2 linked regions of the Cricetulus griseus genome follow. The protein of the gene in region 1 purifies or fractionates together with the protein of each later gene. This does not show direct contact. Links are inferred from orthologs where the notes say so. Each region holds a gene or a part of one and is shown on either strand. Other genes may lie near its edges. The genes, in order: Nkapd1 and Csnk2a2.

The links.
Region 2: the proteins of Nkapd1 (region 1) and Csnk2a2 purify together in Homo sapiens (affinity purification with mass spectrometry; 5 studies listed by BioGRID and IntAct, counting the BioPlex papers as one, with this or other methods). This does not show direct contact. The link is inferred for Cricetulus griseus from reciprocal best matches to the Homo sapiens genes NKAPD1 and CSNK2A2.

What each region holds. Positions count from the first base shown.
Region 1 is NC_048597.1:162,365,201-162,381,451, forward strand, and holds the end of Nkapd1 (uncharacterized protein NKAPD1), read right to left. Parts: intron 14,614-16,251; coding exon 14,513-14,613; intron 12,396-14,512; coding exon 12,246-12,395; intron 11,312-12,245; coding exon 11,258-11,311; intron 9,991-11,257; coding exon 9,489-9,990; 3' UTR 7,264-9,488; downstream 1-7,263. Other genes in the region: Sdhd (succinate dehydrogenase [ubiquinone] cytochrome b small subunit, mitochondrial), read right to left, coding at 179-323, 2,524-2,640, 5,717-5,768; Timm8b (mitochondrial import inner membrane translocase subunit Tim8 B), read left to right, coding at 5,935-6,018, 6,957-7,124.
Region 2 is NC_048596.1:171,636,712-171,653,400, reverse strand, and holds part of Csnk2a2 (casein kinase II subunit alpha'), read left to right. Parts: intron 1-2,898; coding exon 2,899-2,958; intron 2,959-7,452; coding exon 7,453-7,536; intron 7,537-8,241; coding exon 8,242-8,352; intron 8,353-8,871; coding exon 8,872-8,973; intron 8,974-9,623; coding exon 9,624-9,724; intron 9,725-11,021; coding exon 11,022-11,170; intron 11,171-13,515; coding exon 13,516-13,592; 3' UTR 13,593-13,609; exon of another isoform or gene 13,610-15,462; intron 15,463-16,689.

The sequences.
Region 1 (16,251 bases):
ACTTAAATATTAATAAACTACCCACATACCCAGATTTATTTGGCTGTTGCTAGTTGTTTGTATGTTTTAAGTTTTCCAGAAGTCTTGAGAATTTCAGTCAATGTTTTCTTCATAAACAAACAGACAGGCTTGCAGCAAACAGAACAAGCAGATAATGGGGAAGGACTGTTGTACTTGCCAGTGACCGTGCAGGGTGAGGGCAGCAGCCAGGGAGTAGTCCACCACAGAGCAGGGATTCAGGTACCCAGCTGGAAGCAGGCCCAAGAGCAAAACACTGACAGCCCTCTCACTAGTCCAATGGAGAGATGCAGCCTTGGAACCAGCTATAAAAATGAGGAGATTCACAGAGTTGAGGAAAGACAACCACTTCAACAAATCCAATGATTATTAAAACTATCAGGATGGTAAATAGTATACTTGGCAGACCCATTCTGAACACAGAATCAGACAATAAGCATATCCTTCGTGTCTCTGAGCACAAGATACATTTTCTTAAAGGCAAGAAGGCAGGCTACACATCTGTGAAATCAAGGCAGCCTTGGACTTCAGTCAAACAGGCATATTATGAATGTAATTTAGTGATCACTAATGGACCGCTTTAAAATAATAATACTAATAACTGTCTAATCTTTGGAGAAAATGTAGTATGTTTTAAAAACAGCTTAAACCAGCCAAATGAAAGAGAAACATGGATCCAAGAATACCTTTTAAGGTTATAGTCCTTCTTCCTCTTTACAATTCAGTGCCAAACAAATAAAACACAAAGACTGCTTTTAGACAAGGGGAAAACAACACAGGCTCTAAGCATTTCTTTTGTTTCCACCAGTAGTTTCAGGGTACCGAACTTAAGAGTGTGGCTTCAGCGTGCGGATGTGATCCCTTATAATGAAGAGGAAGTTTCTCTCTCTCTCTCTCTCTCTCTCTCTCTCTCTCTCTCTCTCTCTCTCTCTCTCTCTCTGTCTCTGTCTCTCTCTCTCTCGGTCTCTCTTAGGTGGTGGTCTAAGACCTGATCACAGCACATTCTGCATCGCCGCATCCTGAACCTCCAGGGGCAAAGACCATGGAAGCTCCTTATCTTCATTGTATGAGTGTTCCCCAAATAAATATTTGTTATTCTTTTATTCGGGCATTCATGGACTTCCTTACTCTGCCCTCACTTTTTTTTGTTTGTTTGTATGTATGTTTTTTTGAGACAGGGTTTCACTGTGGAGCTCTGGCTGTCCCCAAACTCACAGAGATCCACCTGCCTCTGCCTCCCAAGTGCAAGGATTAAAGGCATGCACCACCACCATCTAGGGGCTCTAAGCATTTCTAAGAAGCTATAAACTCCTCAGAGAACCTGACAAAAGGAAGGAGTTCCTACCCAGAAAAATGCACATGGGCATAAACATTAAGACCTAAGCATACAACTTTAGGAAACTTTCTTCAGTCCCATGTACTCCAGAACCAGTCTACTAAATCTAACAAAGGAATCCAGAAATGAAAACTGGTAGAAAACAAAAAGGGTTTAAAAGGCAAAAAAGCCCAACAGCTCTAATCTCTCTAATTCTTAAGTGGCCGATTTAAGAATTGGGAAGGACTGAAATGTAAAACTTAAAAACCAAGACACTTTACAAATACTGATCTTAAAGGCCAGGCATGACAGCCCCAAGGAGGCTGAGGCTGGAGGACTGTGCCAGTCTGGAATACAGACTGAGTTCACCTACATTCTGAGACCTAGCTCAAAAAAACAAAAAACAAAAACAAAAACAAAAAACCAACAACAAAAAGACAAATAAAAATGCATGATTTTTAAGAATGCAGCAAGTTTGAGGCTAGTCTGGACTACAAAGCAATTTTCAGACAAGCCAGGCCAAAATAATTATTTCTCTCTCTCCAGACTTTAAAAAATGGAAATATGGGTTAACTCATTATTTATGTTCAGATTGTCTAATGTGACTATCCACACAGTATTTATCTAATAAATTCCATATGGTTTTAATCAACATAAAAAAAATTTCCAGCTGTAAATCCATGATTTAGTACACAATTGGCTCCTCTCCATTGGCAAACAAACAAAACAAAACAAAACAACAACAAAACCCCCAGTAACTGAGCTACACTGAACAGACTTCCTACAGAGCTGCTTTCTTGACAGCAATGTAACAAATTTTGAAGTTAGGCCAGAAGATTCTCTGTGAATACAAATGGCATCATCACTCATGTTTGCACCATCTGCCCAGGAGTGTAAACTAGGTCTTCATTTAACCAGCAGACAGGACAGACTCCCCAAGAGACACCAAGACCCGCCAAATACATGATGATTAGTCCAGATAGATGATTTGTCCAGATAAAGATGGCTGAAGCACCAGTAACTGTACACAACTGTCTGGAACCCAAAACCCTCTTCTGGACTCTGTGCACCAGGCAAGCCAAGTACCCAGACAAGACAAGCAGACAAAACACCCATACACTTAAAATAATAAATAAAATTGTTAAACAATAAATAAAATTGTTCACAAGGCATCGGTAGAGAGAACATACAATGGTAGCTTGGTGACAGGTGAATGTGCTGTGTGCCATGCCATCCTGGGGTAGGCTGGTCCTGGAGAAACGCTGAGACATAAGCAGGTTTGACCACCCGGCTTCGGAGCAACAGAGCTGAGGAGGTAAAACAGGGATCATAAGCACTTCCTAGCAGGACCAACAGACTTTCTAAACTACCGTGAACATGCCACTCAAATCATAAACTTTTTTTTAAAGGATTTATTTTTACATGTCTGAGTGTTTTACCTATATGTATGTCCATGTACCATGTACATGCCTGGTGCCCACAGACATCCTTCCCCATAACTGGAGTTACACCTCTCCTAGACCTAGAGTTATAGTTATGAGCCCCCATGTGGGTGCTGGGAAGAGAACCCAAGTTCTCTGAAAGAGGAGTCATTGCTCTTAACCATTTCTCCAGTTCCAAACTTTTATTTACAAAAAAAAAAAAAAAAAAAAAAAAAAAAAAAAAAAAAAATCTGTGCTGGGGATGTAGTTCAGTTGCTTGCCTAGCATGCATGAGGCTGTTTCCAGCACCACATACAGCCCCAGCACATGACAATCAGAAGCAGAAATTCAAGGCTATCCTCATCTTCATATGGAGTTGGAGGTCAGCATGGGATTACATGAGACCCTGTCTCAAGAACAACAAAAATCTGCAGACTCTTATAATAATAACTCACTTTGCTTTCATTTATTAAAAACAAAAAACAAAAAACAAAATCTGGTAGCCTCTTGTTCATTTACTCATCTACTTATCTAGTATTAACTACAATCAATACTGTGCTTGGCAATGAAGCAAGAAAGATAAGGACAAACGTCTTTGCCCTCAAGATAGTCAACATAGTTTAGAAAGTTCACCTATTGCCCTCTTCCTTTTCAAAACCAAAGCTCATTTTGTATTCCCGAACTCCTTACTGTCTCCTTTTGGATCCTGCCTCTGATGTTCACTCAGCTACATCACAGATTAGCTATTGGTTAATGAGCAGCTAAGTTAAATAGCTCTCTAAGGTTTGGTTTCATTTGCAGAAGAAGAATGTTGAGTTTGCTTTCTGTTACTATGATAAATACCATGACCAAAATCAACTTGGAGGAAGAATGGGTTTATTTTAGCTTGTGCTTCCAGGTCACAGTCCATCATTGAGGGACATCAGAGCAAGAAAACACAAAGGAAGTGAAGCAGAAGTCACAGAGGAGTGCTGCTTACTACCTGGCTCACAATCAGCTTGCTTTCTTACTCAGCTAAGGCACAAGTGCCTAGGACAGTGCTGTCCACAGTGGGCTGGGCCCTCCCACATCAACCATCAATCAAGACAGTTTCTCACACACATGGCCAAAAGTCAATCTGAAGGAGACAATTCTTCAGTCAAATTCCCTCTTTTCAAATGACTCTAAGTTGTATCAAGTAGGCAAAAATTAGCCAGTAGTCAACAACTGCATTAACTTCATAACACTGCTAAAAACTAGGCAACATATGCAAAGGATAAATGAGTTCCCAGAATGCTAACTGCATATATACACACAAAAAATAATAATTTAATATTTTCTCTCTTTTTTTTCTTGGAGGTGGGGTTTGTTTTTTGAAACAGGGTCTCACTTTATAGTGTTGGCTGGCCTGGAACTCTCTATGCAGACCAGGCTGGCTTCTAACTCCGAGACTTTCCTCACTCTTTCTCCCTTGCCCATGACCTTGAACTTCCTGATCCTCCTTCCTCACCCCCAAGCACTAGAATCGTAGGCCTGTTCAAGCATTCTACCAACGGAGTTGCAGCCCAGCTCCTCCTGCTCTTTCTTCCTTCTCTTTCCTTGCTTCTGTGAAGTGTTATTCCAATCATTTTGTACTTCCCAACCATTCAACTGTGGAATTGTTTTTAATACTTCCTATATCTGTTCTAGAAATCCAATAATAGCCAATAGCCAGTCAGGGATTTCCCTTCTGTAAGTCCCCAAATCCTACTGACATATCTCTTTAACATTTCCTGAGACTGCCTTCTTTTCCTTGTACCTTCCAAGCTCAGGACTTCACCAGGCTAGTCTACCACAACAGTGACTTATCTCATCTCCCCGACTTGCATCCAAACCCGCTCTATCACCATCAAGCCATCCTTGATGGTGATACTGTTACTAAACAGTAAGTTTAGGCTGACAGTATATAGTTTGGCAAAAGGGCATGTGCTTAGCATTCATGAGATGCTGGATTCAAACGAAAAAGACTGCCAGGCAAGGTGGTACACACCAGCTACTTCGGAGGCTGGGCCAGAACCAGTTTCAGCCAGCCTAAGGAACAATAATAACAACTAAAATAAACCTACACTGCAAACCTATCAAGCCTTTCAATGTTACTGCCAACCTGGGCAACAAAGAAATTCTGTATCTTCCAAATACTATAAAGTAAATTCTGTGATTTAGCTCATTTCACCTTTCTAGGCTAATTTCACACTTTGGCTTTCAACATACTATTTTATTTGTTCATTTCTATCTCACACTTCACATCTCGTGCATGCTAAGCACATTTGTATCCTTTCACCACAGCTTTTGCTGCTCTCGGTTGCTGACTATAATGTACTTCTCTGCAGAGCCAAGCCAGGTTAGTCCTTCCAAAACAATTACCCCAAACTTTCTCTGGACTCACATTAACAATGTCTACACAGCACAGCAGTTTTTGCGTTACATTATCTGTACCACCTCCCCCAAGTTCTTTGAGAGCAGAAATTGTTTTATTCGTGTTTGCATACCAGCCTCTTGTATAACCAAAATGCCTGGTTAAAATGATTATGGAAGCCCTGAGTGTCGGTGCGTGGCTGTTAATCACTCGGGAACAGTCGGGAAGCTCCCGGAAAACCCAGAGCCTGATCTACATGGCTAGATAAGAGGAAAGCCAGCACTGCACAGCAAGCCGCTGTCTCAAAAGATTTCCAAACGGATTACTTCCACCCACACTCACATTAGCCCGGCAGCACACCGCAGCCCGGAGGCTGGAAGTGCCAGCTGGGGAGAGCAGGCCCTAGGTAACCACTTGGGCCTTCGGGCTACAGCGGTCCAGGCTGCGTCCTTGTAGGCGACTCCGGGGCCAAAGAGGAAGAAGTTCCTTCCTCTCATGACGTCCCACCACCTGGTGGTCGAGCCCTCACTCCTTTTCTTCCCCTGCTCTAGGTCGCAGGAGGAACCTCTGACGGTCAAGACACCTCACCTCGGCCTCCTTGGCCACTGCAGAGGACTCCCAGCTTTAAGAGAACCGCCATGTCGCTTACGAGGGCTCAAGGTCGCTCAACAACCCGGAAGTAGTTGTGTAGCAAGCCCCGCCCCGCTTGAAAGAAGGGCAGGGCAACCTGGTGGGTGAACCGGAAGGGGGGAGGCGGTGTGTTGCTACCGTGCGTGCGCACACCAGCGGAGTCACTCACGCCGACCATGGCCGAGCTTGGTGAAGCAGACGAAGCGGAGTTACAGCGCCTGGTGGCCGCGGAGCAGCAGAAGGCGCAGTTCACTGCGCAGGTACGATGATGAGGGACAAGGGAAGGAGGGTGAGGCGCAGGCCCTGAGCACCAACGGAGGCCTGGACTCTCAGCACAGCAGGCTCACTCGATGCTGGATCCCGGCTGCTCCTCCCGCCCTGGTGGACCTACAGTGTTCACTGTCCGGGAGTCTAGTGCTGCGTGGGACGAAAGAGGTGCAAAGCAGGGGGAAGGTTTGGGCGACAGAGGAACATGGTGGTCATATTAGCCGGCCACTGGTACGGAATGGTATTAGAATATCTGGGTTCCGACCTTGAGATTCAAGGGCCTGTGTGGAAGACACCGGTCCCCACCTTGAGTTCGGAGTTCGTTGTTGCCCGCTGCCTCTCTGCTTTGAATCATGTGATGTTTTTGGAAGTGATGATCATTATTAGATAAAGGTGAGCGCTGCAATAATCAGTGTAGACTCGGTAAGGTAGGGTTTGGCGTTTTCAGGCGTACTTCAAATCAGTATGCTAACCGTTGCTGACCTTGGAAATACTGATAGCTGTCCTGAATTTCAAGAGCTGATTACTTAGTACTTAGCTTCCCAAGTAATATCACTATGTGTCTATAGGTACAATTCCAAACCATGCTCAATTTGGAGAAATTAGATCCTGACTTCTTCCCATTTTGTAATAGTGCTAGTTGCTTTGAGAATTGTGGGCAGGCAGTGATGGCCCACTCCTTTAATCCACTCAGGCAGATCTTTTGAGTTTGAGGCCAGCCAGGTTTACAGAGCGAGTTCCAGGTCAGCCAAGGCTACACAGAGAAACCCTGTCTTGAAAAACGATAGTACGGTATATAAGGATGAGGAAATTACTGGTGACTAGACACCAAAGTGATCCCATGCACAATATATTAAAAGTGATTGTTATCGAGACACAGAATAAAAAATATCTATAGACTTCAGTGATTAAGGTTTTTCTCTCCTCATAGGTGCATCACTTCATGGAACTATGTTGGGATAAGTGTGTGGAGAAGCCAGGAAATCGGCTAGACTCCCGCACTGAAAACTGCCTCTCTAGCTGTGTGGACCGCTTCATTGACACCACTCTTGCTATCACCGGTCGGTTTGCCCAGATCGTACAGAAAGGAGGGCAGTAGGCCATACCTCAGGAATGACAGAAGATCCAAAAGACTTGTTACTAGGCAGATTGAATGGCCAGTGGAGAGTTGTCAACATGTTGAGTTAGCATCAGGCAGCTACCAAGTCTGTTGGTGCTAAAAAGTAACAGATCAAATGTCCAAAAGTGAAATTTATTTATTGGAATTCAGTAATTCCAGGTTGTATCACACCGGTTAATAAATGTGACGTCTCTAATTCTTTTTGTTCTAAGTCCCAGTTTAGGAACCAACATAAAGATCTCTGAATGACAGAACATTGAAAAGACATGTTCCTTGGCTGGTAATGAAAATGGGAGATCACAGGTTTTGAAAAGTCACCCTAAGCCATCTTTAAGAGGATTAGAGGAACTATCAAAGCCTTAGCCTAAGGCATGGAAGGGAATTTAGGGGTAAGAAAGGTTTACAACAGAAAACAATTTTATTGCTTATATGACTGAGAAAAGATGAACATGGTTGGGGGGGGAGGGCAAAAAAAAAAATCAAGCAAAATGTGCATTTCTTGGAGAAGAGAAAAAGCCTGTTAGTATGGGAGGAAGGTAAGGTCAAGACCCAAACAGAACCAACTTCTTGGAAGTGCCTTATTCTGCAGGACCATGTTCCTGAGTCTGTGCTTAGAATCAGTACTTTTGTAGCACAAAACTGCTTTAAAAATACATGCCCAAAACTACTTCCAACAAAGATTTCACTTGCTTCAAGAAGGTTATGAGGTAGTAACTAGACTCTCCTCTCATTAAACCTCTACTAAACCCAAAGAAAAAACATACCATGGAACATTGACATTTGAGTACCAAAGTTAAGTAGTGTTTCAATATCCCAAAAGGTAGCACCTGCTCATAATCAAGGGCTAGGGCACATCTGGCCAACTATGTATTTTAAAAACAAGTACTTTATTAGAAGTATGTTCCATAAAGAGCACGAATTTAGTTAAAACTATAAAATGCCACTTCATGGGATGTCAGCATAGTAATATTCTATTGCTGGTGTCTGTCATGCTAACCATGAAGTATTTTTGTATTACACATGCAAAAAGTAAGGCCAGGGAGGTTAAATTAACCTGCTCTAGAACTCAATCAATTAGTGGCAGAACCATGACCCACACACAATCTTAGGTCTGAGTTTTTGTGCTTTCTACTCAGTACCAAAAGTGACGACCTCAAAAACAAAAACCCTGACAATGTCACTTTACCTTTCCTCTGAATGAAAAGTCAACTAACTGTTCTACCAGCCACTTTGCAGTGGTATTTTGGTTTCTTTTAATATCAGGATCACAGTATAGCAGGGAGAAATAATATGTTCTTGATAATCATAACACAAAGTAAGACTGGGAAGAAGGGGGTTATATCCCTGAGAAGCGTGTTTCATTTTGGAATTGATTCAACTGGTTTCAGGGAAAATCTAAAATTCGTTAATAGAATTAGAAATGAACAGGGAAAACAACAGGGCTGGGGTATGGCTCAGTGGTAGAGCACTTGCCTAGTATATGCAAGGCCTTATATTCAATCCCCAACTTGGAAAAAAAACAAAACAAAACAAAAAAAAAACAAAACACTTAGATGGCTGTTGCCCTGAATCTCTTTGAAAGCATCATTGGCAACCTGACTACTTCCTAATTCTTTCCATTTGATAGATAGGACAACTGAACATTTAAATAATTTCAAACACTTAGCCCATTTTAGGCACTATATAAAGCAATGAAACTAGAAGACCAATTACTATCCAGTTACTGTTATGTTTGGGTTATACTAAATGTAGCTGTAGACCCTGACCGGCAGGGAAATTAGGCAGAAAACCCCACATTCCTTAGCAGTCATCTGTGGATCTTACTACGAAGGGAAAAGTTTTGTTTTTATACCCATTTATCCACTAAGTAAATTAGATACCTGTAGGGTCCAACTATAGAAGAATCAAAGCACCAAAGCGGAAGCCAGGAAACCTCCTGTATAAATAGCAATTGTTTCCTTGTCAAACTATTCTATCTAGCACTATTTCAATCCTCCTTCATCCCAGACCCTTGATTCCCCCAAATCCAACATTCCAATTGGTGTACCCAGATCATTACTGATTTCAGCTTTCTGGGTTCTTTAATTTGCTATATAGGTATTCTACCCTAAGTGATTAATTGCAAAAAATAATCTCTTCAAGAAACCTTAACAAAATACCAGATTCCCTACTAACAACAAAAGGGGGTGGAGATTAACAGTCCAAAATAGGAAAAAAGGTATCTGTGGCAGGACAACTCTGACCTCCGACCTCAGACTCCTGTGCTGAGTCACTGGCAAACCCCCATTATTAAGAGCTGCAGACAACCAGCGTCCATGGGAAGCAGGACTGCTACTTTCCCACTTAGTCATCCTCTGAGCTTTCAGCAGACCTTGCATCCGTAGCCACTTTCCAGTTCCTGCGCTTGCTCGTCCTCTCCTGTACTTCAGGGTTAGCCACAGGAACATGAATACTTTTCTCTTTCTTTTTCCGTTTGGTTTTCTTAGTGTCTCTTTCCTCGATTTCCTCAGAACTGCTAGCTGCTGAATCATCTGACTGGGAAGTAGCCCTTTCTCTCCCCAAAGATAAAGATTTTTTAGACTTTTTCCTGGATTTTTTCTTGCTCTTGTGTGGTTGTTTCCTTTTCCTGGTACTAGAAGTTCCAGTTTCTTCTGAGAACTCACTTGAGGAATCTGCTGTTATGTCCACAGCTTCCTTTTTGTTTTTTTTCTGTTTTTTGTGGGACCGTTTTTTCTGCTTCTTTTTATGGGATTTCTTTGACTTCTTATGTTTTCGGGATTCCTGGGCAGATGCTTTCACCTGGGAAGATGTTTTTTCCCCATTGGTAATATCTTGCTGGTCACTACTAAGGAAAAGTAAAGACAGAACTTTTATGGAAGAAAGAAAATGTATATTTATATTTACTATTCTGCATTAAATTATTAACATCTGAACTTTAAATCAGAATTTTAAGCTCGGTATGGTGGTACACAGTTATAATCCCAGTACTCAAAAAGTAGATCTTCCAAGTTTGAGGACAGCCTGCTCTACATAGCAAGTTCTAGGCCCCCAGGACTACAAAAAGAGACTGTCTCAAAAAAACAAAAAAAAACCAAAAACAAAAAAAACAAATAGTACTGGTGAGGTTTCTATTTTATTACTCTCAAAAATGTTTCATTTCCTCATCTTTAAAATCCTAATTTGACCTAACCATACTGGTATAAACCTGTAATTCCAATGTTTAGAAGGTAGGGGCAGTAGGGCCAGGAGTTCAAGGCCACCTTAAGCTATAGAAAATCCTGTCGTCCCCTCCCACCCCCCTCCAAAAAAAAAATACACCTCCTGATCTGCTATGCTGAGTTACATATGAAATACTAAATACCATTGTGCTCCCTTATCCATAGTTTCATTATCTGATTCCTGTCACCTATGGTAAATTCCAGAAACAATTTGTAAGATTTTAATTGCATGTCATACAAATTCCTCACAGTACTACTGTCCCACCTAGGACCTGAGTCATTCCTGTGTCTAGTTACCAACCCTTTGGTCATTTACTAGCCATCTGGGTTATTAGATCCACTGTCTGGTATAGCTTATCTTATTTAACAATGACCCTAAAACACAAGCATGATGCTAACTAACAATTAGGATGTGGCAGAGAAAAGCATGAAGATATGTCCTTAAAGTGAAAAAAAAAAAAAAAAGATTTTAAAAGGTATTGTGTGTATAAGAAAGGAATAGAATATGGGAGCTAGACAGACAAGACGATATAAAATATCCAAGGTTTCAAGTACCTTTAAACATGTTCACTACAGATGATAGTGAACAATTAGTTTCTAAAGCTCTCAGGCTTGCAGAATACCAAACTTCAATCAGGAAAGGTAAATAAGAATTGCTTCCCAACAAGATTTCATTATGTCCCAGGCTGGCTTCAAACTCCCGGACTCAAGCAATCCTCCTGCCTCAGGCTCCTGAGCAGCTGGGACTACAGCCATATACTACCATTCCAGGTTCTAGTTATATTTTCAATGACAAATAAATCTTTTGTAAATATTAGGAACTCTACTTATGGCGTAATTTTGCATTCATCTTAGGTGTTTGGTTTTGTTTCTCTAGTAAGTGTATTTACCTACCTGTCTGTTTCAAACTCTTCAGGATACAACTCTTTATATCCACTGTGACCCCATCTGTAAAATGACATCATAATACATATATTTTTATGAAGCAATGCATATCATTTTTGGAAATTAAAACACAATTAGATTTTGGACTGCATGAATACACACATACAGAGAACAAAGGAAAAGGGGGCAAACTAAAAACACACCTCAGTAACTGCTCTATGTTCTATACTATCATCTCAGACACAGGATGTTGTTCATTGAAAGGTTGTATCTGTTCTTTAAGAGACACTAAAGAACTCTCCTCAGCGGTGAAGTCCTTTTCCCAAACTACTTTATAATGTTATCTACACTGGGACTTTCTAAAGATAGTTACTGAGAAGTGATTCATATGACAAGAGAGTTGTCCTTTTAAAGTGCAGAGCCTATGGCCCAAGGCAACCATTAATCTTTCTGTCTCTATGGATTATCCATTCTGGACATACCACATAACAAAATCTTAAGAGTATGGCTTTTGTAAAGTTTTCAAGGTTATGCATATAGACTTAGTACAGATCCCTTTTACCACTAAGTTCTATTCCACTATATGGAAAGCCTACATTCTGTTTATGCATTCATCAGTCACAGCCATTTGGATTTTCACTTCTTAGTCATTATAAATACTGCTGCTATGCACACTCACAAATGTTTATGGGGTCAATCTGTTTTGAAGAATTATTTATACTTATGTGTAAGACTGTCTTGTCTGCCTGTATATATGTGCATCACATGCATGTATGATGCCCAAAGAGCTCAGAAGAGGGTGTCAAATCCCCTGAAATTGGAGTTACGGACACTTATAAGTTGCCTTGTAGGTACTGGGAACAAAACATGGGTCCCCTGCAAGAGCATCAAGTGTTCTTAACCACTAAGCCATTACTCCAACCCTAGGACAATAATATCAAGAAATACATATTCTTGGGCCAAATATCACTAGGGGTAATAAGAAATAGTCACAAACCTGTCTGGCATGTTGGATTCATAATCATATAACTTCTTGTTCCAGGATTTAGCCTTAAGAAAATCATCATCTAGGGCCCCAGAAATTTCATTCTTTGTCCTCCAGTAGTCTCTGTGACTTTCTTCATCAAAACCATCACTTCTCATCCGACTATAAATGAAAAAAAGACAAACGTTTAGAATTAAAAGCAATCTGTGATGCCACTTTATAGAGCATTATAAACAAAACTCATGGAACATGCTGACACTACCTTTGCACCACATAACATTGATATCAGTCATACTCAGCCAGTAATACATCAAAGTCTACATACTCCATGGACACATTCCCTTGAAATTCCTTTTTCTTCTAATGATTTCTCTAGGTAGCTTTAAAAATCAGGTTATGACCCATCTCACATACCTCCTTCCTGTGCTTAAGGGCACATGAGGCTCTAGAGATATTCCTAATTATTCATGCATCCTACACCTCCCATCGAGCAGTCAAGCCTGAATATATATGGAACTTATTTTGTAAACCAGGTTGGCCTTGAACTCAGAGATCCACCTGCTTCTGCCTCCTAAGTACTGGGATTAATTTGGGTGTGATTACCTAGTCACACCCAAATTATTACAAAGGAACTATGAAAGCCCATTGACTTGGACGAAGAGAGTGAGTAAATGTGGCTTTTAGTAAGAAGAGTTGGCTCAGTGGTTAAGAATACTTGTTGGTCTTGCAGAGGATGCTAATTCAAATCCCAGAACCATGTCAGGAGCTCACAACTGCCTATTAACTCCAACTTCAGGGCATCTAATGATCTCTTCTGACCCCTGCAGACACCAACAGACACAGACACACATAATGAATAAAATAAATACTTTTTTAAAAAAAGGTCTAATGCCGGTTGTGGTGGCACACACTGGTAGTATTTGCTGAAGGAGGCAGAGGCAGGAAGATCTCTGTGAGTTCAAGGCCAGCCTGGTCTCCAGAGGGAGTGCCAAGATAGGCTCCAAAGCTACACAGAGAAAACCTGTCTCGAAAAACCAAAAAAGTCTAATAGAAAGACTAAAGAAAACAGTATGACTGACCGAATTAATAAGACTCCAGGGATGGCTAAAGGGCTAAGTTGCTAAAGGTGCTTGCCTGGAAACACTGATGACCTGAGTTCTATTCCCAGAGCCCACAGTAGTAAAAACAAATTCCTGAAAGTTGTGCTCTGACTTTTAGTGTTCACTTTGGCACACCCATATTATATATACTCACACATCATACACAAAGTTGCCAACACAATAAATAAAATTGGTTTTGTTTTTGTTTTTGAGACAAGGTCTCTCTTTGTAGTCTTGGCTGGCCTGGATGTACACCAGGCTGCCCTCAAACTCACAGAGATCTATCTGCCTCTGCCTCCTGAGTGCTAGAATTAAAGGCATAAGGTACCATGCCTACCAAATAATATAATTTTTATAAGATGAAAAAAGAAATAGACACTCCAGTAGAAAATCTTTAAAGCTATTAGACAAGGTTGGAATCCATAAAACCTAAACATTTATAGTAATCCAAGGAGAATTTTTTAATTCCCCACTGAAAATTAGTGCAGAAAGCCAGGTGGTGTCGACCCATGTGTTTAATCCTAGCACTCAGGAGGCAGAGGCAGGCAGATATCTAAGTTCAAGGCCAGCCTGGTCTATAGAGTGAGTTGTAGGACAGCCAAGGCTACACAGAGAAACCCTATCTTGAAAAGTCAAAAAGAGAGCAGCTGGGCAGTGGTGCTCACACCTTTATACCAGCACTTGGAAATCAGACAGGCAGATCTCTGAGTTCAAAGCTAGCCTGGTCTACAGAAAGAGTTCCAGGACAGCCAGGGCTATATACACAAAGAAACCCCATCAGAAAGCGAGCAGACACAGGGGAGAGAGGGAGGGGGAGGTGGAGAGAGAGGGAAGGAGGGAGGGAGGAAGGAAGGAAGGAAGCTAGGAAGGAAGGAAGCTAGGGAGGAAGGAAGCTAGGGAGGAAGGAAGCTAGGGAGGAAGGAAGCCAGGAAGGAAGGAAGCCAGGAAGGAAGGAAGCTAGGAAGGAAGGAAGCTAGGAAGTAAAAACAAACTAGTACAGTCTAGTCATGTTATCACAGCCATTATTGTTAGACTTGGACCTAAATTTAGGAAACAAGGAAGGCTTAATGATTTGCTGAACTGAATTCATCTATCCTTAACATACTAGAATGTTTTAAAGCTAAAGTTAGTAATTCTGAAAAAAATGAGTTATTTTTGGTTCTCAGAGGCACACTTCACCTTGAGCTGCTGGGTACCGTGTTCCTTCTGGTCCCCTGGTAAGCATCCTCCATTTGCTTCTCTAGTTCTCTGATTTTCCACATGTCAGATTCCTCCTGAATCTAGACGTTTTCAAAAGGGAAAGAAACAAAAATAAGTCACTAAAAATAGCACTTTGCATCACAGAAAAGGAACTAGCTGAAAGTACAATCTGCCTTAACTATGGGGTACAGACTGGGCTATGATCTGGAAATAAATTCTGGTTTCTCTAAGGAGTTTAAAAAAATGACTAGACAGTCCAGGGCAGTAAATATAAAATTACACAACAGGTTTTGAACCCCTGCATAGATATACTAATCACATCATCAATTTTAAATCCTGCTGAAATCAGAGAGTAATAGCCCTACATGTTTCTGAGGTGTAACATGACCACAACATCTTAGCTCAACAGTAAGTGATTTTATAGGAAAGATAAAGCAGGAACCATGAGAACATTCCACAAAGCAGCAGCAGAAGCTTGGTGACCATACCAACATCTCTTTTTTTTTTTTTTTTTTTTTTGTGTGTGTGTGTGTGTGTGTGTGTGTGTGTGTGTGTGTGTGTGTGTGTGTGTGTATAAAGAATTAGGTTATCTTTCTGTTTTTGTTTGTTTGTTTTTTTCAAGACAGGGATTCTCTATGTAGTCCTGGCTGTCCTGGAACTTAATCTATAGACCAGGCTGGACTTGAGCTCAGAGATCCACCTGCCTCTGCATCCTCAGTGCTGGTGTGCTAAACACACATTTTTTTAGTTTTGTTTTTCTCAGTACCATACATATACACTTTACCACTAGCCTAGTACCCCTTCCCAAGCCCTGCCTCTTTGTTTCTGTTTTATTTTTTATTCTTGTTGTTTTTTTGGGGGGAGGGGGGATTTTTGAGACAGGGTTTCTCTGTAGATTTGGAGGTTGTCCTGGAACTCTCTGTAGATCAGGCTGGTCTTGAACTCACAGAGATCCACCTGCCTCTGACTCCCGAGTGCTGGGATTAAAGGTGTGCACCACCAGAGCCTGGCGGATAGAGTCTTTTTATATTAAGAAAACAGAATGGGTGGACAGATAGGTAGATAGATATACATTTTTATTTACCTTGTGTAAGAGTCAGAGAGAGAGAGAAAGAGAGAAAGAAAGAGAGAGAGAAGGGGCATACACGTGGGGGTCAGAGATAACTTTTGTAAATCAGTTCCTGACTTCCACTTACTGAGTCAGGGTCTCTCTTGTTTTCTGTCGCTGCACTATCTACTCCAGACTAGCTGGCCCTCAGCTTCTGGCCAATTCTTCCATCTCTACCTGCATTAGGAATACTGGGCTTACATACTTACATCACTGCATCTGGCTTTCCACATGGGTTCTAGAGATCTAACTCTGGTGATCAGGCTTGCATAGCAAATACCTGTGCCATCTTCCCACCCCATTTTGCTTTTTAACATTTATATTATTTTACTTTATGTGAATGAATGTTTTGTCTGTGCACTATGAGGCATGAAGAAAGTGTTGGATTCCCTGGAACTAGAGTTACAGATGGCTAAGAATCAAACCCCAGATTCTCTGGAAAAGTAGCCATCTCTCCAGCCCTATATGTTTGTTTTCTGCTCCTTGCCACATAGAACAGGCAAGCCATGTACTTAACCTCCTGTCTCTCTCTGTCTCCTAAGTTCTGGGATTATAGGCATGCACCATCATACCTGGTTCACATTAAAATTCTTATGAGGCTGGGCAGGGC
Region 2 (16,689 bases), on another chromosome or scaffold:
TGTATCATGTGGGCTCTAGGGATCTAACTCAGGTCGTTGGGTGTGGTAGCAAGTGCCTTTACTTGTGAGCCCATAATCTTCTGGGAAACATAGCTTGGTATGTTTTTGATAAGTCTCTTATGCAAATGTGAGCAAAGCTTACTTCCTGCCACATTCTGCAGTTGCTTGGTTAATAATATTCTCTATATAGCTGGGGGGAAAGTGTGGTTCTTAGGAACTTTCTCTTTCTAATTTCACATGAACTCTGGTAGTTCTCATGGAAGATAGGTTTTGTTTTGTTCCACTAACTGGTGAGCATTATAAAAGCAAGTGGAGAAGCTAGGCATGCTACCCTGCTATATGAGGGCTTGAGTTTGAGAGTTTGATGGAGAAAATGGGTGTAGGGTATAGCTGTGCAGTGAGTTCATGATGCTTTGGAAGGTGGGGAGAGTTCAGAGATTCTGAATTAACACAGTAGTGGCCATCAGCTGAGGGCAGCTGTTTCCCTCATATGTATATAGCCAGCTACTCAGGCAGGCAGCAGGTTCATGTTGACACAGTGAGGTTTTACCTTCAGAACTCCAGATCACTGCCAGTACATGGTGCTAATTCTAGGACCACTGAGAGTCTCACTCTGTGAACACCTTAGAGCAGTGGTTCTCAAACTGTGGGTTAGGACCCCTCTGGGGTCCCATATCAGATATTTATATTACTATTCGTAACAGTAGCAAAATTACAGATATGAAGTAGCAACAGAATAATTTTATGGTTGGGGGTCACCACAACATGAACTGTATATAAAAGGGTTTCAGCATTAGGAAATTTGAGGATCACTGCCCTGGAGGGAGAGCATAGCCTAGAGTTCAAAGAAAGGAGAGACCCCTATTTCTGTATAGAAAGCTGATGGGATGGTTTGGAGAGGAGCACTGGAAGGGACAATGGAGGAACAGATACGTGTTGGTATCTTCAGAGAAGGTGATTCCTGAAGCCTGCAGTGGAGATTGGAGCAACAACTATTAGAGGAAGCCAGATTAGCCCCTGGAGAGGCCTTAATCATAAGCCCATGAGGTTACTTGGTCCAGATATAGTTTAGTCTTACCCACCATGAACACCAAGAAAAAGGAGGTCAGGCTGAGTGGTGGCCAGCCACGCGCTGTTGTGTAGGTAATGTCCTTCATGTTCAGTAAAATTGGTTCTGGTTGGAATAGTCAGAAGTACTTTGTTGACAGGCCAAGGACATTTATTTTTATACTGTAGGCCCTTTACAGGATGATTGATATAGTACATGATACAAAAGGAAAACCTTTTACAGATAAAAGTTCAAATAAAATAGCCCATATTGGTTTTCTAGAAGTTAAAAAAAAAAAAAAAATCCTAGCATTCTGAGGGTTTGAGAATTTGATCTTTTCTCTTTTCTGGGCTATTTATTGACCTGATGGTTCAGTTTAGTACAGCCTGTGCAGTTGATCTCTCTTGTATCCAAGTTGGTATCAAAGCCTAGACCTGAATATTCTGGTTGCCAGTTGTGACCAAGTACTCGATAAGAAACTTGTCTTGAAGCACAGGGCTGGGAACAGAAACCTGGGGTTTGGTTCTTAGGAAGCTGAAGCTACGAGGGTAGAAATGGTGAGTAAGTGTGAGGACAGCTCAGCTACCCCACCCCACCCCCCACGGCTTATCCCCAGCCCAGGGGTGAGACCCTAGCAACTCAGCAGCTCCACAGCTTATGGGCCTGAGCCAGCAGCTGTCTGAGGTTGATAGAGCTATACAGTCCCACTAAACTGGAAAGGCAAGTTACTCTTCCCTAAAGGGGGAAGGGAGGAGTGGCCTCTTCCTCTACACCTGTGCTTTTTATTAGTTTCTTTGTCATGTATTCAGATAAGTGATTTTATTTTCCTCTTATAGAATCACAGTGTAGGCCAGCCTGATCTATAAAGCTACACAGAGAAACCCAATGTAGCCAATCTTTGCTCCTTGGCGCATCCCTGTGATGTGTGATTCTCTTTTCTAATAGAGGGAAAGTTTAAAGTCTTTTCAATTAACTTTGTTTATAGAAAGGGTTGCCTAGATTGACAGGGAAAGATTTACTTGAAATTTTCTATGAACAACAATGTCTAACTTTGCTTGTGGTACTCTGATACTCTGCTCCAAGAAATTGAAATTTATTTCAGAACTCCATGAGGTGGATCTCTGGATTATGAGTAATGAAAGTTTCCATGAGTGTATTAGCTTGTCTTTTGGTCTCTTTGACACTGCTGCCCCGTCCCCCCTTTTTTAATTTATTTGTGGGTTTTTTATTTTTTTGAGACAGGGTTTCTCTGTGGTTTTGGAGCCTGTCCTGGAACTCACTCTGTAGACAAGACTGGCCTCAAACTCACAGAGATCTACCTGCCTCTGCCTCCCAAGTTCTGAGATTAAAGGTGTGCACCACCACCGCCTGGCACCTTTTTATTTTTTAATGCCTTATTCCATTTTAAAAAAATGTCTGTTATTGCCTGTGAAATCTTTTTCAGCCAGGAATTGTTTGGTAGGGAACAGAGGGCATCTCCAAATGTCCCTCACTTTCCTGTTCCTTTACAAACCATTTCATTCCCCTAATACCAGTCCACATCAGCTGAGGAAATTCTCCAGGTGCTATGTGCTGGGTGGACTTAGCTTGATGGAGACAACTAGACTTCACAGCAGTGTGGCTATGGTTATTAGAATTGTGGAAAAGTAAGTAGCAAAGATCAAGTTGGCTGAAGTGTTAACTTTTCCCCTCTCTACTGAAGGTGGGATGCTGACTATTCATCTTTGCCATTCCAGGTCAGGCAGTGAAGTTGTGGGTGTCTGTTGTAACTAAGTTTGCAGAGGAAGGCCAGAGTTTAGAATAGCAAATACAGACTAAATTGACTTTCTGTTCTCTGAAATCTGTTTCAGCAACTCTACCAGATCCTGACTGACTTTGATATCCGGTTTTATATGTATGAACTACTTAAAGTAAGTAGCATTTGTAGGTGGTGCTTCTCCCCACCCCCACCCCACCCCAAGGCTTATTCCTTTAAGAAATTTTTTAAAAGAATTCAAGCAGATTCAAGCAGAGTATTTCCTGGTACCCAGAGAATCTAGTGAGACTTCTGATGAGAATTCTGTTGTGAGACCTTATAGAATTAAAAAAACAAAAACTTAGAAGACTAGCCAAGCTCAGAACTCCCTGTGGCTCTTGTTGGCAGTTGAATTTTTTCTTTGACAGTTAATGAATCCTAGTCTTCTGTGTAGAAAGTCACATTAAACTTAAATAAAATGGCTTTTTATTGCTAATAATCTCATGAGTTAGCCTGGTAACATTTTTTTAGATTCAAGTCTGCCTGACCGAGACAAAATGGTCTGGGTTGGCCTCATTCATGTATTTGTGATGTAGGCTGGCATTGCTGGAAAGTTGAGGTCCTGGTCTTTCAAGTAGCATAAGAATGGAGACCTCAAAGTTAAGCACTTCAACCTGGCCTTGCTGGTTTGACCAGAGTCAATCCTATGGCCAGCCTTGACTTAAAAAGGTATAAAATGGTCATTGTTTCTTGATGGAAAAGTCATGAAGAGGGTACAGAATTGACAGTCATTTTCCCCAAACTGTCTTAACATCCGTTTTATCTATCCCTCACACCAAGCGCTGACTAGCCCTTAATCTGGGAGAAGTGATGTGTGGACCTTCTAAATGACTTAAAAATACCAAGTACTGTAAAGAAAAAAAAAAAAAGAAGAAGCATTATTAATTGACAGAGGAATGTTTTCATTTGTGTAGGTGATGCACTTGTAAAGCATTCTGAAAATGCTACATGTATCTTTTAGGGTAATGAATCACTAAGAACTTAGTGAGAACTATGAACTTCCCTTTCCCTAGAAGTGCATTATAAATACAGGCTTGTCCAGGCATGGTGGTATGTGACTTTAATCCTACCACTGGGGAGATAGAGGTGGAGGTAGGTGGGTCTCTTGAGTACAAGACAAGTCTAGTCTACATAGTGGGTTCCAGGCCAGCCAGAGCTACAAAGTGAAACCTCTGTCTACAAAAATAATAATTAATAATAAATAAATAACGATATTGCAAAAACTTGGGGGTACGGGTTAGGGGTTGTTGATCTCAATTAAGAAAATTTCCAAGGTTGGGTTTGTGTGGGAACTGAAACATTGCTTGAACAAAATACCAGGTTGAAATAAGGCTGGACTTCAGGAGTGGAAGTTTGAAGAACTGGCCCAGTAAAATGAATGCTTTTCCTTAGAATTGTACTTGAATGATATGCCTGTTGCTGGAGCCAAAGTGGTGGGCTTGGAATTCACGCCATGTCTATTGAGCTTGGTTTTTGTTGATAAGAGCTTGACCTGGTCCACCTTATCTGTGTCTTCTCCAGACTAGAAATCCAATAGGAAGAGGTTTGCAGTATTACAAACAGCAAACTGTATTTCCTAAAGGTCCTCCCAGAAAGCCCCACACATGCACCCTTGAGAGCCACTGTCCGTTGCTCACAAGTGCTCACAAGTCAATATTCAGGTTTTGTAGATTTTGGCCAGCACCAGCTAGATAACAACAGAACCTAGCACATCTGTCCTTGGTGCTGGGGGCCGTGCTTTTGTCTGGTGATAGCAGCACTCTAGCTCTCCCTGCTAATGAATGCTCAGAAACTGTAGCAGATTTTTAAGACTGAAGTCTCCTCAGAATTTAAAGGCCTGTTAGGAGCCCCAACAGGGTGTCTGGCCAGTGAATGCGGCCAAGAATTAATCACTGCTACCTTTTTGCCCCCAGCCTTCTGTGTGTTTTTCACATCCTGGAAGTATTATCTGGATTAGATCTTTGACAAAGACTAGGTAAAATAGCAGAAATCAACATTTTCCCTTTTAGAAAAGGATAGAAGCAGGAACCAGGAAATATTTAACTTCACAGCCAGTGTAGAGGAAAATAAGGTGAAGGCTGTGTGACTGTTCAGTGACCACCCCCACCCCCCAGGCTTTATGTGATCAGATTCAGGGGAATATGCCCTCATGGACCCTAGTTTCATAAGAAAACTGTCGAGATGGGATTTGGGTGGGAGTTATGAAATGCTGCTTAAACAATACCAGTTGAAAGAAAGCACAACAGCACATTGGAGTCTTGGCTACAGCTGTTGTAAAATAAATCTTGAGTTTCCGTGATATTAGACTTTATATGTGTAAGCCTTCAGCCAAGTGTCCTTAGATCCATGGTAGGCATTTAAACAAAACTTAAGAATTCTATTCTGTCCATGCGATACTAGTCACATGCCAAGTGCTCAGTGATCTTGCATAGCTGGTGGCTACTCTACTATACACCACAGCTATAGATTGCCACTGTTTGCTACAAAAAATGATGGACAAGGCTGGTGGAGAAATTATGGATGTCCAGAAAGTGCTCTTAAGTCACCTCTGTCCCCAGGTTTTGTATTGCCCACTTTCCAAATTCAAATTAAAAGCACCAAACACTGTCTGTTACTGTTGCTACAGATTAGGGAACTTTAAATGTTCCAATCCCAGTTCTCCCTCCCTCTTCTCCTCCTGCTTCCCCCACCCCACCTCCCATCCCCTCCTCAGAGAGGGTAAGCCCTCACCTAGAAAGTCACCTAAGTCTGCAGGGAGCATATTTTTGGTGTGCTGATCATCCTGTTTAAATACACCTCCAGCATAAAGATGCCAGGTACAGTGCCCTTGGTCTGCCACTGCTCCCCAACCAAGTGGTACTGGGTATCTAGAATTATTTTTGGCTGTTAACAGCTTGAGTGGCACAGCTGACACCTAGACTAAGTAGAAGTTCTGTTGAACATTCTTTAATGCAGGATAGCCCTACATGAGGAATTTTCTGGCCTCTTGAAGCTTTCCAGTGCTCTTTAAGCCAAAGGTCTAACTTTGGGGTTCACAAAGATGGCCCATGATATGTATGGAAAAGAAGACTTAAGAGCTGTGAGTGTTTGGATGGTGTCAGGGAGTGTATTAGATTTAAAAAAAAAAAAAAAATCTGGATATAGTGAGCATGCCTTCAATCCCAACACTCAGGAGTCTGAGGCAGGATATCAACTTTGAGGTCATCTGTGTGCAGAGAGAGGGCAGCCTGACTGATCTGTGTAACAATCAAAAGGAAAAGGGCTTATTAATTGAGACATTTCTTCAAAGGCAATATAAATATAGAATGATCAATAAACATGTAATGATAATTTGCTTCATCACTAATAAGGAAATACAAATCAGAAACACATGAGATACCACGTTAACGTACCTAAATAGCTGTAATTAAAAAAGGAACAGTGACAGGAAGTGGTGGTGCTTGACTTTAATCCCAGCACGTGAGAGGCAGAGGCAGGTGAGTTCGACGTCAGCCTGGTTTACAGAGCAAGTTCCAGGACAGGCTCCAAAGTTAGACAGAGAAACCCCGTCTCAAGGTGATGGATACCTTTAATCCCAGCACTTAGGAGGAAGAGGCAGGCAGATCTCTGTAAGTCAGAGCCAGCCTGGTCTATAGAGTGAGTTACATAGAGAAACCCAGTCTTGAAAAAACAAAAGAACAGTGCCAAGTGTTGTTGAGAATGTGGAAAGACTGGAACCATTGTGTGTTGGACTTGAGAAAACAGGCAGTTCCTTAGAAATTGTAAAGCTAACATACAACAAGGCACTTCTGCCCCTAAAAAAACTTACACACAGTTTGCATACTCCCAAAAAAATCTTACACATGGTTATTCATTGCAGCATTGTTCTCAACAGCCAGAAGTAGAAACAACCCAAGTCAGTAAACTAGTAAGTTCATAAATGATTCAGTCTCAAAATTAAATAAGCTCAGTGAGAAAGGTGAACAAAGTACTGTAGCATTAGGAATGTCTGGTAGGAAGAAATCTCTAGAACAGATACCCGATCCACCAGTGGCTTCAAGAAGCTTGGCGTGGGCATTATCTCAAACTCCAGGAAACTGTGAAGGTGCTGAAAAGCTCTGAAACATGGTGACTTGGTTATACAGCTGTCAGTTTACTAAAGATCATTGGCTTTTAACACCACAAAGCCTTTTGATTCTATTACAGGAAGTAGTTTTCTCTTTTAGAATAGTAATGATAATTCTTAAATGCTGGCTCAGGTTTTATGTTTACGGAAAATGTAAATGCTTCTTATCTGGAAAACTCATAGCCCACATAGCATAAGTGTGCCTTGTTTTAAGATACGTTAAGGTGTCATTCTTCATGCCCACATGGATTCTGAGGTCCCACACTCTGGCCTCTCATCCCTTCTTTTTAAAGCAACCTTCAGCATGATCATTGACAGCCCCCTTTCCACTGGCTGCCAGCTGTAGTGTCCACGGAGAGCATCTTTTTGTTTCTCTCCTTAAAGGCAGTAAGCTGTCCTTTTTTGAGACTGTTCAAGTTAAAGTGTCACAAATAATAAAAATGTGTTTGCGTTGTGGGTGGTAGAGGGTTTGCTTACTTTTCTCTGTGCTTTCTTACCTACTAGGCTCTGGATTACTGCCACAGCAAGGGAATCATGCACAGGGATGTGAAACCTCACAATGTCATGATAGATCACCAACAAAAAAAGGTACCAATCCAGCCAGGCAGCACCAAATCTTTGCTGAAGGTTTAGGAAAAACCTAAACATTGTCCAATAGCATTGTGGTGTATGTAGACCACACTGATTTCTTAAGTAGACTGCATTACTTTGACTTCTCTAGTCTCCAGGAAGTACACAGAGACCTTGACTTTGGTCACTAGTTTTATTTTGGTTTTAGTGTTCAAAGGGCCTCAGGAAGAAACTACATCAGTGGTCTCTGCTTTGATTCTTCGTGAGCATTAGACCAGTCAGACTAGCCCTAAAAAAAATACACTTGGGTGTTTCCAACTCTGGTTGTCATAGACAGGGTTAGCTTAGTGACCAACTAGAGCAGCACTCTAAGGGTGTGACTTACGTGGTCACACACGTAAGCCCTTCATTAGTGCCTGGAGCTTATGTTAAGAGCTATGAATGGTGGGGGCATGTGTTCCACATGTAAGTAGCATGGAGACCAGAAAAAAATTAAAAAAAAAAAAAAAAAAACAGTATAACTTAAAAGGGAAAAAACTCAGATATATTCCAAGTACTGTGCTCCATAAATGACCTCATCTGCAGTTTCTGAAGTAAACTTTTTCCTGGGTACACTGTGTGTGGCCGAATACCTGTTGTAGAGATGCAGTGTGGCCTCGTCATAGGCAATGGCATCTCAAAGTGCACCTTACCCATTCTGTTGGGTCTTTGTCTTTCTCATAGCTCCGACTGATTGATTGGGGTCTGGCGGAGTTCTATCATCCTGCCCAGGAGTACAATGTTCGAGTGGCCTCGAGGTACTTCAAGGGACCAGAGCTCCTTGTGGACTATCAGGTGAACTTATTAGTGAAGCTGCGCAGAGCTATTTTTATATTTCCTTAGGAATTTTCCTGGTTGCTGTGTGGTCACTTTGGATGCATTCAAAACCCAGTTATTCTACTCTAAAGGTTTTACTCAGCAACATTAAAAAATTAATTATTTTTATGCATGTATGTATATGTGCCACAGCCCATGTGGGAAGGTCGGAAGACAACTTGCAGGTGTTTGTTCTCTCCACCATATTGGTTCTTGTTACTAAACTTAGTTTAGTAGGCTTGACAGCCTTTACCAGCTGAGTCTTTTGGTGGCTTTTTGGGGTGGCGGGGTGCGGTGACTTAGTTACAGAGTAATTGCAGAGAGGCTGAGGATGGAACTTAGTAGTAGATGTTTGCCTAATGTGTATAAGGCTCTCTCAAAAGTCAGAGCTAGAGGTCAGATGTCAAAAGTCAGAGCTAGAGGTCAGATGGATATGAGAAACTTAATCAATGAGTGTCTAACTATCCTTGACTGATGGATCATCCTTCCTGCATTCAGATGTATGATTACAGCTTAGACATGTGGAGCTTGGGCTGCATGTTAGCGAGCATGATATTCCGAAAGGAGCCATTCTTCCATGGGCAGGACAACTATGACCAGGTGAGCAGATTCATCCCTTGCTTGTTTGTCATGAATGTTAGGGAAATAGCCTCTGGGGACTGTGTAAGCTAAAGGATTGTTCAGAATTGTATGAGTGAGCATGAGGGCCCCAAGCATGCCGAGACAGACAATGCTGCCTAGTGAACTTTCAAGATGGGTCTAAGAAGTAAGGCACTTCTTTATCTAACAAAATCACATTATAGTTATTTGATCAGTGTCCCCAAAGATGTTAGCATCTAAGTTATATCAACCCTTTAAAAGCAGTTTAGGGGGCTGGAGAGATGGCTCAGAGGTTAAGAGCACTGACTGATCTTCCAGAGGTCCTGAGTTCAATTTCCAGCAACCACATGGTGGCTCACAACCATCGGTTATGAGATCTGGTGCCCTCTTCTGGCCTGCAGGGATATATGCAGGCTGAACACTATATACATAATAATTTTTTTTTTTTTTTTTAAAGCAGTTTAGAAACTTGCATTCATGTGAGTGTTGTGTTCTTAAGTCTCTGTTTATCCTAGACTCGGGTCTCTGTTAAGTCATTTGGGATTTGAGTGGCATGGGATTTCCTGATTCCCAGGCCTAGCACAGTGTCCACAAAAGCTCACAGAAAGCACTGTGCTTGGTGGTTGGGTCAGTTTTGTTCTGTGTTTCAGCTTGTTCGAATTGCCAAGGTTCTGGGGACAGATGAGCTGTATGGATATCTGAAGAAGTACCACATAGACCTAGATCCACACTTCAATGATATCTTGGGACAGTAAGTAAGAAAGGAGAGGGAGGGAGGGAGAGAAGGAGAAAGGAAAGAAGGAAGCACTTTGCTCTACTTCAGAAGTGGTAAAGTTAGACAACATCCAGTTTCCCTTTTCTAACTTCAATATTGATATTTATTTACTTATTTATTGAATGAACCAGGGTCTCAGTGGCTATGTAGATCAGGGCTAGTTTTGAACTCACCGGGATCTACCTGCCTTGGCCTCCCAAATGGTACGACTCCTATTTATCAGTAGAAAATGGAAAATAAGCCTTGTGTAGATATGCATGTTTCTAATCACAACACTTGGGAGGCTGCAGCAGGAGAATCAAGAGTTTGATCCTGTGGAAGCAAATGGAAAATAAAGTCATAATGTTATAGAAAAAATGTTTATTTGGTCAAAGCTTGTGCTTTTTCAAAAGAAATTATTTCTTCTTGTTTTATATGTAAGCCTGTTTTACCTGTGTGCACATAATGTACTGTGTGTGTATGCTTAGCCAGAAAAGGGGTCCTCTGGAAGTAGAGTTACAGATAGTTAATAGCTACCATGTGGGTGCTGGGAACTGAACCTGGGTTCACTGGGAAAGCAGCCAGTGCTCTTAACTACTGAGCCATCTCCCTAGCCCTGCATATGCTTATTTTGATGGCAAATCTTAGAAAACGAGGCTTCTTCAAATAAGTGAATAGCTTATTTTCTGAAGTTTTATAATAAATATTAAGGCATGCTAAATTTTCAGGTACAGTACCTAGTTTCGTGACTTAGGTATTTTGGGGTGGGGATGGTCTTATTTGTTTGCTGTGTAGCCTCCTGGCCTCAACCTGAGTGCTCAATTATAGGTGTGTGCCACCATGTCCAGCCTCAGTGCAGTGTGTTAAAAGTAAATGTTTGGCTAGTGGTCTTCAGGCATTATTTTATGAAATTGCTTGTTTCTAAAGCCAACCTTCTAAATATATCTACTGACCAGTGCATCACTTAGTCACCGCCAGGCCTTACTCACGGTTGATTAAAAGACAGGCATAAGAGTAATCCAGAAAGATTGAACAATTCTCCCTCAGATATAGATATTTTCAATAGATTCTGCTCATCTAATAATTGAGCAGTTTTATGTCATGGTTATAACTGTGGGTGACAGTGTGTGTATACTAGCCCATTTGAAGTGGGCACCGATAAGAATGAGCTTCAGCTGTTGCACGAAGTGCAGTATTCTAAGGGTTTGTTTATGTTATGTCTATTAAAGGAGGGTTTATCTGGTTGTTTAGTCTCAGAATACTAATATTCACTTTGTTTGTTTTTGTTTTTTAGACATTCACGGAAGCGCTGGGAAAACTTTATCCATAGTGAAAACAGACACCTTGTCAGTCCTGAGGCCCTAGATCTTCTTGACAAGCTCCTGCGGTACGACCATCAACAGAGACTGACTGCCAAAGAGGCCATGGAGCACCCGTACTTCTGTGAGTTATTAAATGGCAAAAGATGTCACCTTTATCTTTGGGGTCAGACAGAAAACTAGGTATTTGGATTTAGATCAGCCTAGGAATTTGGCTTTAAATTTTATTCATTTTACTGGACCACTGAGGCCATTTTATGGGTGATTTGATTAGTTCTCGAAGGTGTTTGCTGTTCAATGTTAGTAGTACCTCTGAGGCCAGGCTGTATAACCCACTGTCATCACCCTGGGCTTGTATACTGAAAGGTATCTAAGATTTTTTTTTCAAGTGCAAAAACCTAATCAAAGATTATTTTTTCTCTTTTAAAAAAAATTTAGGGGGGGTGGAGGAGGAGGGATGGGGGTGAGGGAAAGGGAGAAGGGATTGACATATGAAACAAGCTTGTTTCTAATTTGAACCAATTAATAATAATAATAATAATAATAATAATAATAATAATATTTAGTTAAAAGTAGTAAGATCAGGTCGGGTGGTGGTGGCAGCACACACCTTTAATCCCAGCACTCAGGAGGCAGAGGCAGGCAGATCTCTGTGATTTTGAGGCCAGACTGGTCTACAGAGTGAGTTCCGGGACAGCCAGGGCTACACAGAGAAACCCTGTCTTGAAAAACAAAACAAAGTAGTAAGATCATTGCTTTTTTAATGTGATTCTAAAGGAAGCAACATGTAAGCAAGAGGAATTGCAGGTAAGCAGGTAGCAGGTATGGCAGCTGGATTCTGACCTGTGACATCTCTCGGAGCATATGTGTTCCTTCTGCACTTGCTTGTGTTTTGGGTCCATGTAGTGTTCTTCCCACTGAAAGTCTCCTAGACACATCACCCTTGTCATTGACAGAAGAGGGTGGCTTAGTCTAGTCATGGAAGAAGTTGAATGTGACTTATCTTCATTTCTGTTCCTTAAAGTTTTTGTCTGTTGTTTGACCACTTTTTCCTTTGGAGTTTACTAATTCCCAGTAATATTAACAGATAGGAAGGACTTATTGCCATGATCTTAAACTTTAGGCAGAAGTTTAAGGCAACAAAAAAATGTAAAGGGTCTTCTCATTTAGCCTTCTGGACCCTAAACAGCTGACATTCCATTGTTTGCTTTCTAATTTCCAACACAGAAAGCTGCTTTTATCCTTCAAGATAGGCCACTTTAGGATATTGGTGTTGCCCTGAGTGGTGGTCCACTCCTTTAAACCAAGTACTCAGAGGCAAAGTTAGTCAGATCTTTGTGAGTCTAAGGCCAGCTTGGGATACATAGTAAGACTGTATCTTAAAAACAACAACAACAACAAACAAACAAACAAAATAGCCAGGCGGTGGTGATGCATACCTTTAATTCCAGGATTGGGAAGGCAGAGGCAAGTGGATCCCTGAGTTCAAATTGTCCAGCCTGAACTACAGAGTGAGTTCCATGATAGCCTAGGCTACACAGAGAAACCCTGTCTCAAAAAACAAGCAAGCAAGCTAGCAAACAAACAAAACCAAAATAAAAAGCAGTACTGGTGTAAACTCATGAGGCAAATGTGTAAGGATTGCAAATTTAAGACCATCTAAGGTATATAGTTAGGCCCTGCCTCAGGAATAATAATAAAAACAACCTGATAGATATTTTAGATAATCATTGTTTGTTTACTTCCCTAAATAAACTCCATATTTCACTGCTGCTTAAAATGGCTGGGGTTTTGTTTGTTTGTTTTCTTTTTTCTTGGGGGGGGGGCGTGTCCCAGACAGGGTTTCTCTATGGCTTCGGAGGCTGTCCTGAAACTAGTTCTTGTAGATCCGCCTGCCTCTGCCTCCCAAGTGCTGGAACTAAAGGCCTGCGCCACCACCTCCCAGTTGTCAATGGCTTTTTTATTCACCCTTGTTTATGACATGCTAGGTATGATGTTGGTACTCAGAAATCACCAGAAATATTGTGAATTTTGAACAGTGGTGAGTTGGGGTCTCTGCTTTTTAGCAGTAGGGTCTGTATTCTAAGGAAGTAGAAAAAAATCAACTCTATATAATTCCTCAGTGGGCATGAGGGCCACCCTGGCCTATGCTGGAGGCTAAGGCTAAAGAAGAATGAGAGTTCAGTGCTAGTCTGAGCAACAAAAAAAATTTTCAGAAGGAGTTGAGGATGTGACTTAGTTGATTGCCTAGCATGTGTGAGACTGGGTTCTATTCCCTGCCTTGAGGGCAAAAAGAAAAGGAGTTCTTTCCTGGTCATGTCTTGGTGCCTGGTTCTTGTGTGGCCTGAGTTCCATGTAAGTGTCTGTCTTGGTGCATATAGAAGAGGAAAGGCAGGTTAGCCATGGCATTCCCACTACACCCTCAGTGCTGGTGCTGACATGGAGACCTGTGCTCCTCCTCTCTTGCAGACCCTGTGGTGAAGGAGCAGTCCCAGCCTTGTGCAGAGAACACCGTGCTTTCCAGTGGCCTCAGCGCAGCACGATGAAGCCTGGGGAATCGACGGTAATGCGGCACTGATGCTTGCCAATAAAACCAACCAACCAAACAAAAACTTGAAGGAAACTGCAGTGTGATAAAAAGAAATTCTAATCATTCCTTCTAAAGGCAAAGAAGAGTAAAGACCTAAAGCCTGTCAAAAGCAAGAAACTCCCCAGTACTAGTCTGCAGGGAGCTGCGCTGTACAGTGTGGCAGTGCACATAGTTCAGGATCTGAGGGGACTCTCCCTTTGGAATGCATGGGAGATGAGAAGCTCGGAGTTGTTGTACACGTACCTGCGTTTAACAGGATACCACTGTTGAATTAACCCGTTCGGTCAACAAGCTCTGAATATCTGACTTCCTATCTATTCCATTGTGGTGTCTGGTTTTCTTCTGTGAGAATTCAGGCTCAAGTTTTAGCAAGTCAGCAGTCTATTCTGACACACCAGCCTCATTTACAAAAAAAAAAAAAAAAAAAAGAAAAAGAAAAGAAAAAAGAAAAGAAAAAAAAGATTAAAACAGTGACAGTATTTTTTTTAAGCTCTTTTACAAATTCATGTGTTATGTATTTTTTTATGACATGAGCTCTCCAGGAAATGTACCTCATTCTTGCAGTTTTCTTCTAAGTATATTCATTTGGAAGCAAACTGCAGTCACTCTCACCACATCCTCTTTAGTGTCGGAAGATGGCACTGTAAATCTTGAGATGCCATGAACAGGTCCCAGGTTCATTAGAAGTTTCATGCTGTGTGCATAACTTGGGGCTCACCTTTATTGATTTGCCTAACTATTGAATCTTGTTGCTTTTTCTTTTCTTTTTTCCTTTTTCTTTTTTCTCTCTTTTTTTTTTTTTTTTTAGCGCCACCCCCCATAAGGAAAACTTCACCATTTCTCAGCACATCTTTGTGTGGGCACCTACTTCAATGTACCACCCTAAAACAAAGACTTATTTTTGTTCACAGCCATAGCTGCAGCTGGAACGTTAGTCTTCCGGCAGGTCAAAGAGGGAGGGAAGTGTTCTATTAGAATGTATTCAGGAAAGATCTCACATATGCAAAAGGCACACCTACCATCTTCCCTCTTTTTCACCCCGTGACAAACAGGTCTGGCTACAATCAGGGTGATGGGCATTTACAGCTCTAATAGGTCATACATGAGTGTAATGGCAAAGAAGTATCTGACATGCAGACGATAGCTTGTGGGCAAGGCTGTCCTGTGACTCCTGCAGCTGGCTGGAGAGAGATGGCCAGGGCCTGGGAGAGGAAGGGGGCTCCTGGAGCAAGTGTCACAGCTATGTGCTAACCTTCATGTTAGCAGAGAGCTAGATTTTGTTTGGGGTTTTTTGTTTTTGTTTTTTATAGAGCTGATTTCATTTGGGGGACTGGTCACTGACATGGTTTGCCAGCTAGTCCCTTCTCCTTGGCTGCAGAGCCATGCATCAGCTTTGGGGACCTAACATGCTTGGGGTATCTACCACATCACACTTAGGGTTTCTTCATTAACTATTTAATAATGCCATACATTTTTATAAGGTTAGATTGTTTGTTTGAAACATCTGTTTACATTCCAAATTCCAATAAACTTGTATTGGTATTGGTAGCAGGTCCATCTCTAAATGCAGATTCTATTTTGTCGTTTGGTCTGTGTGAACGTAAAAGACAAATGTAACTCTTCTTGATAGTATGGAGTTCAGTTCATAAGTTAAAAAGTAAGATCTTGGGCCAGTGACATGGCAGGTAAAGGCATTTGCTGCAAAGAATTCAGTTCCCAAAATCTACATGGTGAGGAGAGAGCCTACTCCCATGAGTTGTCCTCTTTCCACACGTGCACTGTGGCATGTAAACACACACACAATAAATAAAGTTTTAAAAATCTTCTTTAAGACCCTTTATAAAGCCAGAACTTTGACATCTAGTTAAGGTTTTCATGCAGACCCTGCCTCCTTTCATCTCACCTTCTGTAGATTGATGTTTACTTTTGTTCTTCCTGAGAATCGGAAACATGACATGGATGCTACTGACCCTGTGTTAGCATGTCAAGTAGCAAACCTCAAGTGTTGGGAGTTACCATGGGCCTTCTCATGTGCCCTTGGTTGTCATGGGATGTGTCATCACCATATGTCTTTCCTGTTTTCTAACCTCATCTCCTTGATCACCCATGTTTCTTCTCTGTCTTTTAAGTTGTTCAAGAGCCTGTTGAGGTGGGGGGTCTCAATTGAGCAGTGACCCCACCTCTCTGCCCTGGGTCCTCCAGAGATAGTAAAAACTTCTGGGAGAAAAGTTGGCCATGTTCCCCTGACTCTCCCCTTTGGCATGCTCTAGGAGAGAGGTCCTTGAGTGAAAACTCAGCAGGGCATGTCCTTTGTAATAAGCAGTGCCTGTATTTTACCTCTCTTCTGCCTTAGCTCTGGAGCATTCTTTGGACTTCATGCTTGCTCCCTCTGGATGTGGACTCTGCCTGGGCTGGTCTTTACCAAGTTACAGTGAATCTAGTAGACATTTTACCTGTCTCCAAATCTATCTTGGGTACAGCCCCTGGATATTTTATCTGGGTTTGGAGAGTTTTAAAGGGTGTGCGCGCACGTGTGTGTGTGTGTGTGTGTGTGTGTGTGTGTGTGTGTGTGTGTGTGTGTGTGTGTGTGTGAGAGAGAGAGAGAGAGAGAGAGAGGGAGGAGTTGAGAGAGAGAGAGAGAGGGAGAGAGAGAGAGAGGAGTCTAGTCTTATATACAGACTAACCTGGTAAATTGACCCACTCGGTATCCTTTACAATGAATATACATACTTCTTATACTCATCTCAGTAATTTCCATTTGTTTGCTTCATTACCTTATTACAAGTTAAAAGTGCCTATGACAAGGACTTAATTATTTCCTAATGAAAAGCAAAAAAATAAAACACAACCCACAAACCTATAGTGGGGAACAGGGTAGTGTTGCACTGTCATCTCAGGTACTGCCTGTGTTCAAGAACGGGCACCTGGTGTGCTGAGCTGAGGCCCCAGGGCTGACTCCAGATCAGTGTCTCCTTGGTATCCACAAGGAGCATGACCTCACAGTTGCCTGGGCTGAGCCATGCTGAGAATGCTAACTAAGAAGTGTGTTGGTG